Linked DNA regions of Elephas maximus indicus. The protein of the gene in region 2 purifies or fractionates together with the protein of the main gene of each other region. This does not show direct contact. Links are inferred from orthologs where the notes say so. Each region holds a gene or a part of one and is shown on either strand. Other genes may lie near its edges.

Evidence for each region.
Region 1: the proteins of MTCL1 (region 2) and MARK2 purify together in Homo sapiens (affinity purification with mass spectrometry; 5 studies listed by BioGRID and IntAct, with this or other methods). This does not show direct contact. The link is inferred for Elephas maximus indicus from reciprocal best matches to the Homo sapiens genes MTCL1 and MARK2.

Annotation. Positions count from the first base shown.
Region 1 is NC_064825.1:127,035,938-127,043,869, forward strand, and holds the start of MARK2 (serine/threonine-protein kinase MARK2), read left to right. Parts: upstream 1-4,834; 5' UTR 4,835-5,388; coding exon 5,389-5,442; intron 5,443-5,460; exon of another isoform or gene 5,461-7,932. UniProt on the Homo sapiens protein: Serine/threonine-protein kinase. Involved in cell polarity and microtubule dynamics regulation. Phosphorylates CRTC2/TORC2, DCX, HDAC7, KIF13B, MAP2, MAP4 and RAB11FIP2. Phosphorylates the microtubule-associated protein MAPT/TAU.
Region 2 is NC_064829.1:14,791,819-14,799,614, forward strand, and holds the start of MTCL1 (microtubule cross-linking factor 1), read right to left. Parts: upstream 3,066-7,796; 5' UTR 2,701-3,065; coding exon 1,624-2,700; intron 1-1,623. UniProt on the Homo sapiens protein: Microtubule-associated factor involved in the late phase of epithelial polarization and microtubule dynamics regulation.

The DNA of each region.
Region 1 (7,932 bases), on a different chromosome or scaffold from region 2:
TGCACTCATTCCCTGGGTAATCTCATCCCGTCCCATGGCTTTAAATGCCATCTCGGTGCCACACTCCCACATTGATGTCTCCAGCCCAGAGATTGATGTCTCCCACCCTGTTCCCACCCCCACTAGCAGGGCCTGACCTTCTCTGATCTTCGACTTCCATATCAGTAAACTGGGGGAAACAACAGTGTCTAACTGCTCACTGTGTAAGAATTCACTGTGAAAATGCCCACACAATGCACAGCTCTCAACACATGTTAAAAATGAACAAAGGGGAACAAGACCGGAAGTTCCTAGTGATGGTCGGGGAGGTGGCGGGGGATAGAGGGGTAGTAAATAAACATTCTATTTCATCTATTCTTAAGACATTTATTTTTACATCCAAACATCTTTGGAATTTGGATGCATCGTACAACTGATGATGTCATAAACTCAGTGGAATATGGTAGATGTCAGTAGTGATATGGATGGAAATTCATACATGGAAATTCAGGGATGTCAAGAACAGGGTAAAGCTTGGCAATGAGAGGGTATCTAATGAGTCAGAGGGCATCATGGGTCTTGCCTCACTCCAGGCGTCTGACTCTTGATCGGAAGGCAATTCCAGACTGTCCCCCACTCTTCCCTACAGGCACCTGCCCAGAACCAATGTGCTCTCGGGCTCCGCTGGTTGGGAGAGAAAGAAGAGGAAGAACCACAATATCACGGAGGTGACAATTAAGGATGTCTTCTCCTCCAGCACCTTTAACTCCTCTTGGCTTCTTTCCTCCCTACCTATGGGTACTGGGGGAGAGCTACCCAAAGGACCCTTGTACCTGCAAGAGCTAGAATCCCAGAACTCTTGTGGGCACCGCAGCTGTTCCTGGAGGACTGATCCTATGGCTTGGGCCTGTGGTAGGTGCCTTTACTTTTGTATTTGTTCCGCTAAAAGCTGCTCAGGCTGGAAAACTTGGAATCATCCTCAACTCCTCTCTCTCACGTATCTCAAACCCAACCCATCACAAAGTCCTGTTGGCTCCCCCTTCCAAATAGATCCGAAATTTGACCACTTCTTATTACTTTCATTGCTGCTGCCTGGTCCAAGCCACTGTCACTGCTCACTTGAGTTACTGCAAAACCCTCCTTCCTGGTTCCAGTTTTCTGTTCTTGCCCTGTCCGTCCCTTCATTCTCAATCTAGCAATCGGTGAGAGCATGGCACTCCAGCGGCTGTCTTAGTTATCTAGTGCTGCTGTAAGAGAAATACCACAAGCGGATGGCCTTAACAAAGAGAAGTTCATTCTCTCACAGTCTAGTAGGCTACAAGTCCAAATTTGGGCATCAGCTCCAGGAGAAAGTTTCTCTTTAGCGGTTCTGGAAGAAGGTACTGGTCATCAATCTTCCCTGGTGGAGGAGCTTCTCAGTGCAGGGACCCCAGGTCCGAAGGACACACAATGCTGCCAGTGCTTCTTTCTTGATCATATGAGGTTCCCAACTCTCTGCTCACTTCTCTTTTCTTTCATCTCTTGTAAAATAAAAGCTGATGCAGGCCACACCCCAGGGAATCTCCTTTATTACACTGGATCAGGAATGTGACCTGAGTAAGGGTGTTACATCCCACCCTAATCCTCTTTAACATAACCCAATCTCACCTCATTAACCACAGCAGAGATTAGGATTTACAACACATAGGAAAATTACATCAATCACAAAAATGGAGGACAATCACACAATACTGGGAATCATGGCCTAACCAAGTTGACACATACTTTTAGAGGTCACAATTCAATTCATGACAGGCTCCCATCTCCCTCTGAGGGAAAGCCAAAGCAACGGCCCTCCAGGGCTGGATCCCCATCACCTCTCTGCCTTCATCTCCTACTACTCATCTCCTTGCTCACCTGCCTCCAGTCTTGTTGGCATCTTTGTTCCTCAAACAGGCCAGGTTAGCTCCTGCCCCAGGGCCTTACCACTGACTGTTCTCTCTCCCTGGGATGCTTTTCCTTGAGACTCACTCCCTCACCTCCTTCAAGTCTTCGCTTAAATGTCACCTTCTGAGTGAAGCCTACACTGACCACCTTAGTACTGCAGCCTGTTTGCCACCCCCTGCTTTCCTGATCCCCCTTACCTGGCTCTCTCTCTCCCCTTCCCCGCCATGGCATTTCCATTATGTTTATCACCTGTCTTCCCTTCTATGGGCAGTGTAAAGCTCCCCGTGGGCAGAGAGCTTTCTCTGTTTTGTTAGCTGGTATACTAGAACCGTGCCTTGCACATAGCAGATGTCAATAGAAATTTATTCAGTAAATGAATTAATCTGCAAATTAGAGAGGGGTAAGTGTGGCAATAATTAATCTTTAAGCAAGGCTAGGTGGCCTCGGGGATTTGAGAAGGTGTCATTTGACCTGGATCTTGGAGTGCATCTGGGAGCTGGGGTCAGTGACAGGCAGTCCAGGTGAAGGGATCAGCCTGAACAGGGCAGGAGTAGGGGAGGGGTCAAGCAATCATCCCTAGCTGGAAAGTATATCAGCAAGGTAAGTTGAGGTGAGAGTGTGCAAAGTTTCAAATGCAGGCTAAAGGCTTTATCCTACAGCCAGGACTGGCTACATAATTTGTAGGGTTCAGTGCAAAACGAAAACGCAGGGGGCCCCCTTATTTAAAATGTCAAGATGATGAAAGCATTAAGCCAAGCACAGGGCCCTTCTAAGAGCAGGGCTTTGTGCAACTGCATAAGTCACACGCCCATGAAGCCAGCCTTGTCTCTAGACCACAGGAGACCTTGCGACGACCTTCTAGCAGGGCAGAGATGGGACTGGAGCTGGACTGTAGGAAGATTATTTTGGCATGACTGGTGTGGTAGGTTGGGAGTCAAGGGAGACCACAGGCAGCTCTGAGCTCAGCCAAAGATGGGGTGGGTGGTGGGAAGGGGGAGGGCTGGCAGTCAGAGGGCAGAGGTGAGGCAGGGGTTACAGCTTGAGTGAGTAGAAGCATAGAGGAGGTAAAATTTACTTAGATGAGCATGGGCCAGGGAGAGACCCTGAGTCCCATTTCCTTTGCTCCTCCAATCCCTTCCTTTTCCTGCCCCAGGCCTGAGAGGTGGTATCTGGCACAGCAATCACCATGTGGTCCCTGTCTCCCTTTGGCCACCAGAGGGCAGATTATTCTCATGAATTTTTTGAGGAAATTAGGGTAGGGGGAGTGGGAGGTAACGCTCTCCTTACCTCTTCCTCTTTTTTCCTCACCTCCCTTTGTGCTTCATCATCAACTTCTTCCCCAATGGCTGGGTGCCTGAATGGAGGTAGGGTGGGGTGTGGAGAGGTGTCCAAGAGTCTCTTGCAATTATTAAGACTGTGGGTTGTACCTGTTGCCTTAGGAAGTATTTTTCACACCCCTCCCGTTGCATCTGTTTGGCTGCCTATTTCTCTAACTTATGTGGCCAAGGGCTCTACTCAGATGCTCCACCTGAGAGTTAAAGTCAAATGTCAGAGGCCCAAGCAGCACCTTCTCCATAACCGCTGGAGCCTCCTCTGCTTCTGTACCTTTGAGGATGTATTGCTTGAGTCTGGTCTCTGGCTCCTGTGAAGCTGCTGGCTCCTGCCCACCTTAAGCGGCTGTTGAGCCCCGGGGCATGAGGAGGATGGACAAGTTCCAACATGTCCGGAGTATGATGGGTGGGTGCAGCTTGGAGCCAGAGAAATCAGACCTGTCTACAGCCTCTCCTTGGTGAAAAGGTCCAGGGGGAGGTGAGGAGTGGGCTCGGGTTGCCCACATGGGCTTCCTGTTAAGTCAGGGACTCTCCTAAGCTGGGAGGGTCCTCAGAACTCGTGAATCCCATGACCTCACTTTACTGTTGGGGAAATAGGTCCAGACAAAGAAAGGAACTTCTGGTGCCCATTCTTTGTGCCATCCTGAGGAATTCTCATTTTCAACCAGTTTCTCTTTCCCATGAGTTTTCTCTGTCTTAGATGGGATAACTGAAATGTGCATTAGAATGAGAAAGTCTCTCCTATCCAATCTTGCAGTGACGCTTAAAATGGTAAGTAGAATTCAAAGATATTATTTAGAATGTCAATGCTGGAACAAAGGCATGGATTCTCAGTTTACGGATGTGGGGCCAAGCTCAGAGGTGTTACGTGATTTTCCCAAGATCACACAGCAGTTTCACTCTGCAGAGCTCGGGCTGGGGCTCCTGTTTTCTGAGTGTTCTGCTGGGGGGACCTCCGGATCCCCCCGCAGCTGGGTGCGAAGGACGCTGACCTGGTGTCTGCCCGGGACCATGAGGATCCCTGACTAGTTGTGGGGCTAGGTGGATGGATGGATAAATAGAAGCCAAGACAGGCGGATGGCAGGCAGACAGGTAATAGACTAAGGCTGCATGTGGCAGGTGACACACACGTTGATAGATAGGTTGGATGATAAACGCGAAGATGGATCTTAGGAGCTGACTGACAGAGGGACGAACGGACACGCACACGGGCCAATCGCAGGAACGGCTAACAGCTTTATTTCTTCTACTTAGTCAAATAATCGCGCACGGTTGCCCACGCTCCATGTTCAAGCTTTGAAAATACCGGAAAACTGGCGGAAACAAACGAAGAGACAGACTCTGACCACCCCGGGGGACGACCGGACTTTCGCCCCGCCTCGGGTGTTGCCGGAAATGGGCGACGACCGCCCTCGATTACGGGGCGGGGCGGGGGCGTGGCCGACTCACAGCACGCGGAGGTGCTTCGGGTGTTTCCGAAAACTACCGAGAGCCGGTTTGAAGTGGGCGGGGAAAGGCCGGTGGGCGTGGCTGGATGGCTCTGGAGCGCCTGGAGTTTTTTTCGTGGATTTCCGCAAACAGAGTCGAAACCTGGGCTTCGGAGTCGAAGAGGCGCGCGCGCCCCGGGGCTTACCTTCTTCGGGTGTTTCCGGAACTCACCCGTAGTTCGTGGCTGGGAGGAGGAGGCCCGCCCCCCTCCCGTTCCTGGTCGCTTCGGATGTTTCCGGCTGCTGCCGGCGGAAAGAGCCGAGGGCCGGCGGTGGTGGCGGCCATGTTGGGAGCAGCAGGTCCGGCGGCGGCAGCCTGTGTGCCGGGCGCGGAGCAGTGCCGCTGAGGGCAGGGGAGGAGCGAGGCAGGCGGCCGGCTGCGGCGGCAGAGAGTAGGCGGAGCGGCGCGGCCCGGCCGAAAGGCGGCACAGCCCAGCCGGGGGTCGGGGGGGTGCGGTCCGGAGCCGCTCGGAGCCGGCGCGGCCTAGCCCGAGCGGCGCATCCCCGGGCTGGCGTGAGCGGCTGCCCGGCCTCCCCGCACCCCCGGCCGGGGCCCATGCGGCGGGTGCCCCTGCTGTGAGAAGCCCCGCCCGGCCGGGCTCCGCGCCTTTCCTTCCCTCCCTTCCTCCAAGCTTCTCGGTTCCCTCCCCTGAGATACCGGCGCCATGTCCAGCGCCCGGACCCCCCTACCCACGCTGAACGAGAGGGACACGGAGCAGGTAAGGAGCCCCGAGGGCTCCCCGAATTCTCTGGCTGGGCCCCTGCACCTTACGGAGCCTCCTCCCTCCTCTTCCATCCTGCAAGCTCGGCTGCCCTGTCATCTGGCTTCCGGCCCCGCACATCCCCCTTCCGAGTCCTGTCCTGGGACCCACCTCGTCCTGACTGCAGGCTGCACACTTGTCTTTCTGCCAGCCCCCCTTTCCTCTCACCGCCCTCCTGCGCTCTTCCGTGTCACATCCCCAGCTTCCCTTTCTCTTCCTTTTTTTCTCTCAGGGGCCTTTCTGGTCTTTCTCCACCCACGCTTAAAGCAGCCACCCTCCTGCTCCTCGAATAGCACCCCACGATTTGTCACAGATCTTTGTCCACCCCTTCTTCCATCTCCCTAGTCTGGCTTCCCCTCTGCCCTCACCGGTTCTCCCAGTCCCCGGTTCTCTCCCTCAGGGTCCTTGCCCCGGAGTGTGTTCTGATTCCTATCCCCTTTCAGTTCCCCAGCTTTTTCTACCCTGCTTCTTCCTTCTCCAAACTGTGCACTCCCTCTTGCTTGCAACCCACCAGCTCCACCCTCATCACCTTTCCAAGTCGTTCGCCTACTCTTTGCTCATCACTTTCCCTTCTTTTCTCCTGGAGCGCTCTGTTTCCTGGCGCTGGCATTTGTTGCTTCCGTGTTTCCCATACGGCTGCCATGCGCATAGATTTCCCACAGGTTGTCATCGGCGTTCCAGTTATCACTCTCTTGTGAGTCTTTGGATCCCTCGTGTAACCCTCCCTGGGGTCTGACGTTTCTGCCCCTCTGCCTCCTCTTCCTCACTGGCAGTGTTTTACCAGCCTTCTCCCGGGGCTCTTCCTACTGGCGGAAAGGCACTTGCTATTTCAGTCCCACTGTATTAACACAACCTGTTGCTCAGTCCTTTCCGTCCCTCGCTGCATCACCGGCCTTGCCTTGCGTTGTCATAAACAGCAACGCAAACCATGATGCCTTCCTGTCTCGTCCCTCCTGTTTCTGTCCCTTTTCATAGTATCTTACCCTTTGCTTGTGGCTTTCCTGTTTCACTACTCACTGCATCTTCCTTATTATGCCTCTTAATCAGTATCGCTTTTCATCTCCATGTCAGTCTCTTGCCTTTTTCACATGATATTTATTTTACCCACATGTGGCTCTCTGCATCCCCTTCCTATTGGCTAATCTTTGTAACTCCCAGTCCAGGAACTTTGCATGCTAGTTTCTTGAGCATGCAAGGACCCCTCAGCCTCAGGACCCCACAGGCTTCCCCTCCTGCTGGCAATCACTGCAGTAGATTGTCACCCAAGCCTTAGCCTTTTCTGTGTCATCACATCTCTGAGCTGAGCGGCGTCCACTTTCCACCCCTCCCCTTTCTTTCACCATCTCCGGTTGCCCTTGCTGACTCCTCTGTGGAGAGTCCCCTGCCTGTCACACCCTTCTTGGTGGAGAACTTTTACTAGGCCAAAAACTTGACTAGGGAAAGGAGCTCTGCTCCCTGGGGGCTGCAGTGCTTTTTGCATCCTTTCCACTCATCAGCTTCTTAATGGTTCCCTCTTCTCTTCTTTTTTCATATCCTGATAGAACCACTGTTATGTTCTCTTGCCTGTTAACATCTTCCATGGTTTTCATGCTTTTCCTATTTTGTTACCTACCCCCTCACTCTTGTCAACTGGGTAGTTAAGAACTCAAGAGGAGTTCTGGAGTTACAGAGAGGATTTTTTCCTGCAGTGGTTGACGCTTTTATTACTGATGGATTGGTTGCTTTTGGGGGTGAAATAGGGGCTGAGAAGGAGGGATGGTCGGTTTCTATTTCCTCACTGGGTTTGGCAACATGGGACTGAGGGCTTTGGAAACAGAGGGGCATGGTTCAGATCTCACAGTTTTTCAACCTTCCCCTGCCTGCCAGCCGTTTCTCTCTGCCTCCTGGGAACTATTCTCTCTAGGCCCTCTCTCACAACCTTTGTTTTAGCAGGTTGTCTCTGCTTAACCAGAGAACTTTCCCAGACTGTTGATTATGAGTTGGTAGGAGGAGGCCAAGTGACTGACTGGACTGGCACCCTCAGGCGTGTGGGGAGTGGAGATGGAGTGCCTCCTCTCTCCACAAGGCTGTGGGGCATTGTGTTCAGCAAAGGAGAGTAGCAGACTGCCGCAATGTGGTTTCTTTGTGCTGCATACTAAATGTAAATGTCGTTGCCAGTATTCTTTAAAACAAGAAAAAACATTAGCAGCAGCTCTTCTAGACACAAGGCCAGGGCTGCCAGAAGCGTTGGCTTCCCCTGGAATAGATCATGCCACCAGGTAAGAGCAAGAAACCTCTTGGTGCTGTTGCGATTTTAGTTAAAATTGTCATGGAAACTCAGTCTTGTGGTAAGAAGGCTTCCTGTCTCTCCTCGGCCTTAATGTTATGAAATAAAAAGAAAGGGATTTGGTTGGGCTGATTCCTTACCCCAAAGGTCCTCCATCGCCTCATTTAGATTTAAACTACTTA
Region 2 (7,796 bases):
ATCCTTGTCTATGAAATTGGGGTTATGATAACATAGTCTCCTGTGTTGTTGAGGATCAACTGACATATCAAATACATCAGGGTGGGCACCAGGGCAGAAGCCCATTTCATTCACTGAGCATCTAACAGTGAAAAAATTAGGCAAATAGCAAGTTATCCAGAGAGGAACCCTGAAGTGATGTCGGGTTGGCTACCTTAACATCAGAAGTGTACGGAGAACTTTTTTTTTTTTTTTCTAAAGAAACTCAATTGTCTGTTGCTCAGCAGTCATTCCGACTCCACGGCACTGGGTTTTGGTCTGGCGGCAGTCATGTGGCCAGGGATTATGCTAAGACTGGGGCTACAAAAATGAACAAGATTAGCTCATGTTAGCTTACAGAGAGCGCTCCTGTGTTGAGGATTTGCAAAGGGCTGTTTTCCTGATAGAGTGACACACAACACAGCTGCCCTTTCTCTTCAGCACTCTGGGATTTCACTCTCCTGTCTGTTATGTAAGAGGTGGCAAAAGCCAATGTGTCAACTTGGAACATCGCACCCAGGTGCCCATCTGCTCTCTTCTCACCTCGCTTTTTCTGCCTCACTGTTTCCCTTTTCCACAACACTTGGTTAGAGCAGCTCCTGATAAGGCTAAGGTTTAGGACTACCCAGCAGCTAAGGCGCTCTCATCCCAGTCTGAACAGCACACGCCACCACCATTCACCTGAAAAACCTAGGCCGTAGGGCTGGAGCCAAAGGCTGGCCCTAAATGGGGTAGGCCTATCTGAGAAAACAGCTCAAATCACACTACCCACCGAGGGAGGAAGGCCACTCCCTCGGTTTGGGCGGATATTTATCAGAATCTTGACAGGTACCACCGAGTTATTTACTACTCTAACAGCCGCACCTCGGTCCTCTGGCAGGCCAGTGTCGCCTAGCCCCTCTGTTCTGCAGTACCAGCCTCCTCTCTGAGAAAAGATGGAGTCGGTCTAAGTGCCTTAATGCTAACAACACCGGGAGGCCATCATCAACAGGCCTTGCCCCAGAGGACTCAAGAGGCAGGGCGGCGGAGGCTGCGATTCCCTCGAAAGTCTTTGCGTAAGAAGGAATCGGGCTCTCCTAACACAGAAATGCCCGGCTTCAGGACACTCACAAAGGACCCGCCAGCGGAACACTCAAGAGACCCCTGGACTTAAGGTTTACCCCCCGAAAACGGTGGGGTCCTTTCTGTGCCACAGGGGCCCCGAGGAGATCCCGCAGGCACCTCACTCTTTTCCGCCGGCAGGAGAACCGGTGGCCGAAACCGACGCAAACACGCAATTTCCCGGACCGCGCTCCTTCGCTGGGGGAACCCTCCCACAGGTGAGGGTGGGCACACAGGGGACGGGAAGATCGGCTGAGGTACCCAATATGTACCCCCAAACGTCAAGAGGTGCCACGGTATACGCAAAACTTCTAGAAAGAGCAGCGTAGACGCACACTGGCTGGGCCCCACAAGTCTTGGGGTTCTGAGCCTTCCGAAGTTCTGGCTCAAGGTCCCAGCGCCCAGCATGTGCGGGGAGGAAGGGAGACCGAGAAGGCGCTCGTACAGCCCCGAGGGCGTGCTCGTGGATCTCTGCGGCATCCGGCCCCGGGACACGCCGCTCACCTTGAGATAGTCGTTCTCCGAGCGCAGCTCCTCCATCTCCCGCAGCAGCTCCTCCTCCGCCGCCGCTGGCACCATCCGGGGCTGCTCGTCCAGGCTGGGCTCCTTGGGGGTCCCACCGCTTCCTTCCCCCCTCCCGGGGGCCGCTCGCTCTAGTGGCGCGCGGCCCCGAGCATCGTCTGCCGGGCCGGACCCAGGGAACCCCTCAGAGACCCCGCCCGGGCTGCTCCGGCCCCCAGGACAAGTGCTGGCGCCGGGGTACGCTGCGAGCAGCGCGGGGGACTCAGGGCTGCCCGGCGGTGCGCCCTGGGCTGCGGGGCTCGGCGCGAGGGCTCCTCGCGGGGGCTCCCGGTCGCTGGAGCCGGTGCCCGATTCGGCGTCGCTACTGGCGGCGGGGAGCGGGCGCTGTTCGTCCGACAGGGGCTCGGATGGGCAGTCGGAGAGGTCGGAGCTGCTATCCGTGGAGCTGATGCGCGCGCCAGCGGCGGCCGCCGAGGTCACTGGGAGGGTCACGGCAGGGAGCCGGGCGGACGACGGGGGCTCGGCGGCCCGAGCCGGAGGCGCGCCGGGGGGCCCAGAGCCGCGCCGGGCCTTGCGGTTCTTGGCAGCTGCCAGCGCCGGCTCGGTTCCGAGCGGTGGCGGCTTCCCAGACCGGGGCAGCAGCTCGGCGGGCGCCGCGCGCGCCGCCCTCCTGGGGCCTGGGGCGGCCTTGGCGCCGCCCGCCGCCCTGGCCCCGGCGCCCGCCGGGGGCTTATCTTTCGCCCCGGGGGCGCCGCCGCCGCGCCGAGAAAGGCGGCCCGGCGCAGCCAGGGACACGGGCGAGTACGGCGTCTTGCCCGCAAGGCTGGGCGAGCGCGGGGCGGCGGGCGGCGGGGCCCGAGCCGAGGAGGGGGCAGCCGGCCCGTGCGCCGCTGGCCGCACAAGCAGGTCCTTGAGGAAGGGTCTGGCGGGCGAGGGTGCGCGGTGCAGCCGCTTCCTCTCGGCCAGCGGGTGGAGGTGGTGGTGGCGGTGGTGCTGGCCAGGCGGCTGCGGCTTCGCGTCCGGGGAGCCGCCGCCCGCGGGGCCGTTCAGCGCCTCCATGGCCGGGTCCCGGGCCGCGCGCAGTGGCGCCGGCGGCAGATGCTCCTGGTGGCCGCGGGCAGTTTCCCCGGGCGCGCTCGCATCACTTCTGCCCCCAGCCCCCGCGCCGCCGCTGCCCTCACCCGCACCCGCGGCCCGAGGGTCCCTGGGGACTCGCCGCCGCCGCCGCCGCCTGCCTCGCTCTCCCCCGGCTCGGGTCACCGCAGCTCAAGTTCTGCCGCTCGCATCCCCTAGAAGCGGCGCTGCGGACTCGAGGGTCCCGCCGCCACGGCGGTCCCAGCCACACGGTCCGCGTCCATGAGCTGGGGCTGACGGGCGCCTCGCGCCGCTCCCACGCCGGCCGGCCGCGCCCCCCGCAGCGCCGCCCGCCCGCCCGCCGCTCCCGCAGGAGAGAAAGTACGAGCGCGCGCCCGGCCCACCGCCGCCTGCGCCCGGCGCTCTGCGCATGTCCCGCCACCACCAGCGCCGGCCGGCTCCGCACGGGGCGGGGGAGGAGGGGCAGACAGAAGGGCGGGGTCCGTCCCTGGCGGGGGGCAGGCAGAGGGGCGGGGCGGGGTCTGTCCCTCCCCTCCCCGAGCTGCGATTCGCCCGGCTTCTCCAGGCCCTAGAGACCGTGTCGGAGCTGGGAAGGGAGCGGGAGGTGGAGAGCGAGCACTGGGCACGCGGGGGAGACTGAGGTGGGAGAGCAACGTTGTCCTCTCGGTGGGGCGAGGGCGGTACACCCGCTTTCCCTTTGTGGACCGACACCCCCACAGGCCCCTCCATTCCACCCCTGCCTTCCAGGGTCCCTCGGCGCTCTGCCCACTGCCCTTTCCAAGCTATGCCTGTGTTATCTCCAAGTTCCTTTAAGGATGCCGGGTACGCGATGCAGCTATCGCGTCACACCGACACGGCGCTCCCCAGTTGGCACCCGCCAGTGCCCTCGGAAGCTCAGAGAAGGAGGAGCTGTTGTAGAAATAGGAGAAGTAGCTCGCCAAGCTTGGGGTCAGAAAGGGAACTCACATTTACAGTTCCCGCTACTCGCCAAGCGCTGTTAGACATTTCATAGGCATAAAAAAAAAATCCGCAGAACAATCCCGAGTTGGAATTATTTTCCTCGGACGTGAGCGCAGGGGAGTGAAGTGCTTCCCTGAGGCTCCTTAGCCAGGTAGTGGCTGAGTCGGATTCAAACCCAGCCCTGTACAGTTCTCAATCCCATGCTTTCTCTCTGGCCCCTCGGGGACCCAGGAAAGCAGAACATGACAGTTTAACATGCTCGAGTCACCTGATCTTTCTGAGCCTCGGTTCCCTCGCTTGTATAATGAGAAAATATTGCCGCCTAAGCATTGTGACGGTTCATTGAGCAAATATGCAAAAACACTTTTCAAACTGTAAAATACTTTCCAGATATTCTGACCTAGGCGATGGACGTTGGGCAATAACAAAAGGCATAAGACACAGCCTGTCCTCGTGAGTGGCTTTGGGGGAGACAGAGAGCAGACAATAGGTACAAAAGTCCAGGATGGGCAATGAACCCAGCCAGGACACACCGCGGACAAAGACCTCACCCGGGCATGGTGTTTGGATTATGCCTTGAAGTTGGTCTTGTGGGTGAGCCCCAGAACAGAACAGAAGCATGGGGAGAGCTGGTGGCCGGCAGGCAGGTAGGCTTTAGACAGAGGCTGGAAGGTAGGCAAGTGAAATGTCCCGCCCGGGAATGTGGACACTGTCCTAGAGGCTGGGGGAGCCCTCGGTGGCTGTGACAGTGGGACAGGTGAAGGGTGATAACCGGCTTATTCAGGTAACAGGATAAGGAAAGAAGAGAGGGAACAGTTCTGTGAAATTAAAAGGAAAAATATATTCCAAAGTCTGTGATCTTAACCACATAATTAGCCTACCAACCCACCTCCTTCAAAAGATGCAGGTGATCTGAAACTTTTTTTTTTTTTTTTTAATCCTGTCAGTGGGGGGAGATGTGCTCTCAGAAGACATCCTGCCTGCTCCTCTTGGCTACCTGAGGAGGCTCTGGTGCTGTCCTGCTGCTCAGTGCTACTGGAGCTGGAACCTCACAGCTCTCCCGCTTCACCATTTGTAAGTTGTTTTTCTGGAATTCCTCTGACAGTGAGGCAGCACACAAATATAATCTGCCCAGAATCTCTTTTAATGCAATATCTAATAAGACCTCAGCTATTTTTATAGCTCACAAGCTATTTGGAGGAAAGGAAAAACCAGTTGACTGTCTTGTCAGCAACAGAGCAGATTTGTTTGAAAGGTACCCCACCCATGCCTTGCCTGGTCATCTCTCTCTGGAGAGCACGTTAATGCCCCCTTTGGTATGACTGTCCATCAGTTCACGAGTAGCAGCTGTGAGTCTCCAGAGTTAGCTAACTGGACTTTATCCAAGAACTTCCTTCAGAGATCCAGAAGTTTGCAACACCTTCACATTTCTGAAGAATTATGTCCAGGACTCTTACTACAAGCTTGCCGGCTGCTCAGACCATGCAGAAACATGCAGAAGACCCAAAAAATTTCAGTAATTTAGTCTTCCAAAGAAATTGAAAACCATTAGCCAAATGACCATACACCAATTGTAGCTCCCACATAATAAAAGTCAAACAAAATTCATATTCCTTATTGTTAGCCTGGCAAATGTTTCTACTAGCTATTAGCAAAGAGACGTTCAATAAGGGTTTCTTTGTTTTCCGGTATTCAGTGACTTACAGGTATGAACAGATATCTGTTTATATAGTTGTTGTTTGCCACGAGTCAGTTCCAACTCAAGGCCACACCATGCGTGCAGAGTAGAACTGCTCCATAAGGTTTTCAAGTCTGACCTTTCAGAAGCAGATCGCCAGGTCTGTCTTCCGAGGCACCTCTGGGTGTGTTCAAACTGCCAGCCTTTTGGCTAGTAGTTGAGCATTTAACCGTTTGCACCACCCAGGGACTTGTTTTCATAGTAGATCTTTTTTAGAAAAGTCCTATGTGATTTAAAAAAAAAAAAAGAAGGGTTTGATACAAATTCCTTTAAAAATACTTGGCAGGGGTTGGGAAGGGGAGCTTACTATTTAAAGGAGCCAACAACAAAATCCAGGCTGTGCCAGTTTTGGTCTATGTCCTCAGACCCAGTCCTTGCCCCACTTGACCCCGCTCTGTATTAGGAGGCGTAGAACCCATAAAGGTTTTCCAGGCTCCTGGATGTGTGGATTAGGTATGGCCAATGGGAAGTACTGGCAGGAGATTGGGGGAGACAGGAAGGGAGAACCAAGGCATTTCTGGCCTCTCTCTGCCGCAGGGGCACTTCCCCAGCCAGAACTAGGTTTCCCCTGTGGCTCCAGTTTTCACTGGGTGACCTGGTCTCTCTGATGACTTCACTGTGTAGTGGCTTCATGGAGTTGCAGATCTCTGGTTCTCTCACTGTCCCATTTGGCTCTTGATTCCTCTGTCACAGATTCCCTGCATTAAAGCCCGTATTGTAAATCCCTCCAGGGCCGTGATTTACTCATGCTTTTGCAGATGCTTTTTTTTTTAAGTCTAGGCCTATGAACCACAGCCAGTGTTGGTGTGATAGGTCATGTTCTCCTCATTATTTCTTGGTCAAAGAGCCATGTGACAGTGTGACGATAGCAGAGGCTTTGGCACTACAGGTAAATCTGTGTTCAAATCCTGCCAAACTCACTTGGTGTCTATGTGGCCTTGGGTAAGGTGTTCTTATCAATACCATCATTATCACCATCTTTATTATTTAGTACCAATGGAATAATCTTCAATACTCTCAGATATGGGCAAACCAAGCTCTGAGTGAGTTAGAAATCTAGACTGTATATGACGCAGATATAAAAAGAGATGAAATTATTTTTTTGCTTTGACTCATGTTGTCGTTACATACTGTCAAGTTGATTCCAACTCATAGATAGCAACAGAACGAAACACTGCCCAGTCCTGCGCCATCCTCACAATCCTTGTTATGCTTGGCCCATTGTTGCAGCCACTGTGCCAGTCCATCTCATTGAGGGTCTTCCTCTTTTTCGCTGACCCTGTACTTTACCAAGCATAATGACCTTCTCTAGGGATCAATCCCTCCTGACAACATGTCCAAAGTAAGTAAGACGCAGTCTTGCCATCCTTGCTTCTAAGGAGCATTCTGGCTGTAGTTCTTCCAAGACAGATTTGTTCACTCTTATGGCAGTCCATGGTGTATTCAGTATTCTTCACCAACACCATAATTCAAATACATCAATTCTTCTTCAGTCTTCCTTATTTATTGCCCAGCTTTTGCATGCATATGAGGCAACTGAAAATACCATGGCTTGGTCAGGTGCACTTTCATCCTCAAAGTGACATCTTTGCTTTTCAACACTTGAAAAAGGTGTTTTGCAGCAGATTTGCCCAATGTAATACTTTGACTTCTTGATTGCTGCCTCCATTGGTATTGAGTATGAATCCATGTAAAATGAAATCCTTGACAGCTTCAATATTTTCTCCATTTATCATGATGTTGCTTATTGGTCCAGTTGTGAGGATTTTTGTTTTCTTTATGTTGAGGTGTAATCCATACTGAAGGCTATAGTCTTTGATCTTCATCAGTAAGTGCTTCAGGTCCTCTTTCAGCAAACAAGGTTGTGTCATCTGCATATCGCAGGTTGTTAAATGAGTCTTCCTCCAATCCTGATGCCTCATTCTTCTTCATATAGTTCAGTTTCTCAGATTGTTTGCTCAGCATACAGATTGAATAAGTATGGTAAAAGGATACAACCCCGACCCACAACTTTCTTGACTTTAAAACACACAGTATCCCCTTGTTCCGTTCGAATGACTGTCTCTTGGTCTATGTTTAGGTCCTTCACGAGCACAAGTAAGTGTTCTGCAATTCCCCTTCTTCGCAATGTTATCTGTTAATTTGTTATGACCCACACAACTGAATGCCTTTGCATAGTCAATAAAACACAGTTAAATACTTTGGCTCATAGAGGGGGGAAAAAAACTGATTTACTCACGACTACACTTCACTATAGTGACACTATGAGTAGGAATTGACTCAAAGGCAACAGGTTTAGTTTTTTGTTTTTGTGTTTTACACTTCACTTAGTGCTGTACACACACAAATAGAATTATATGTA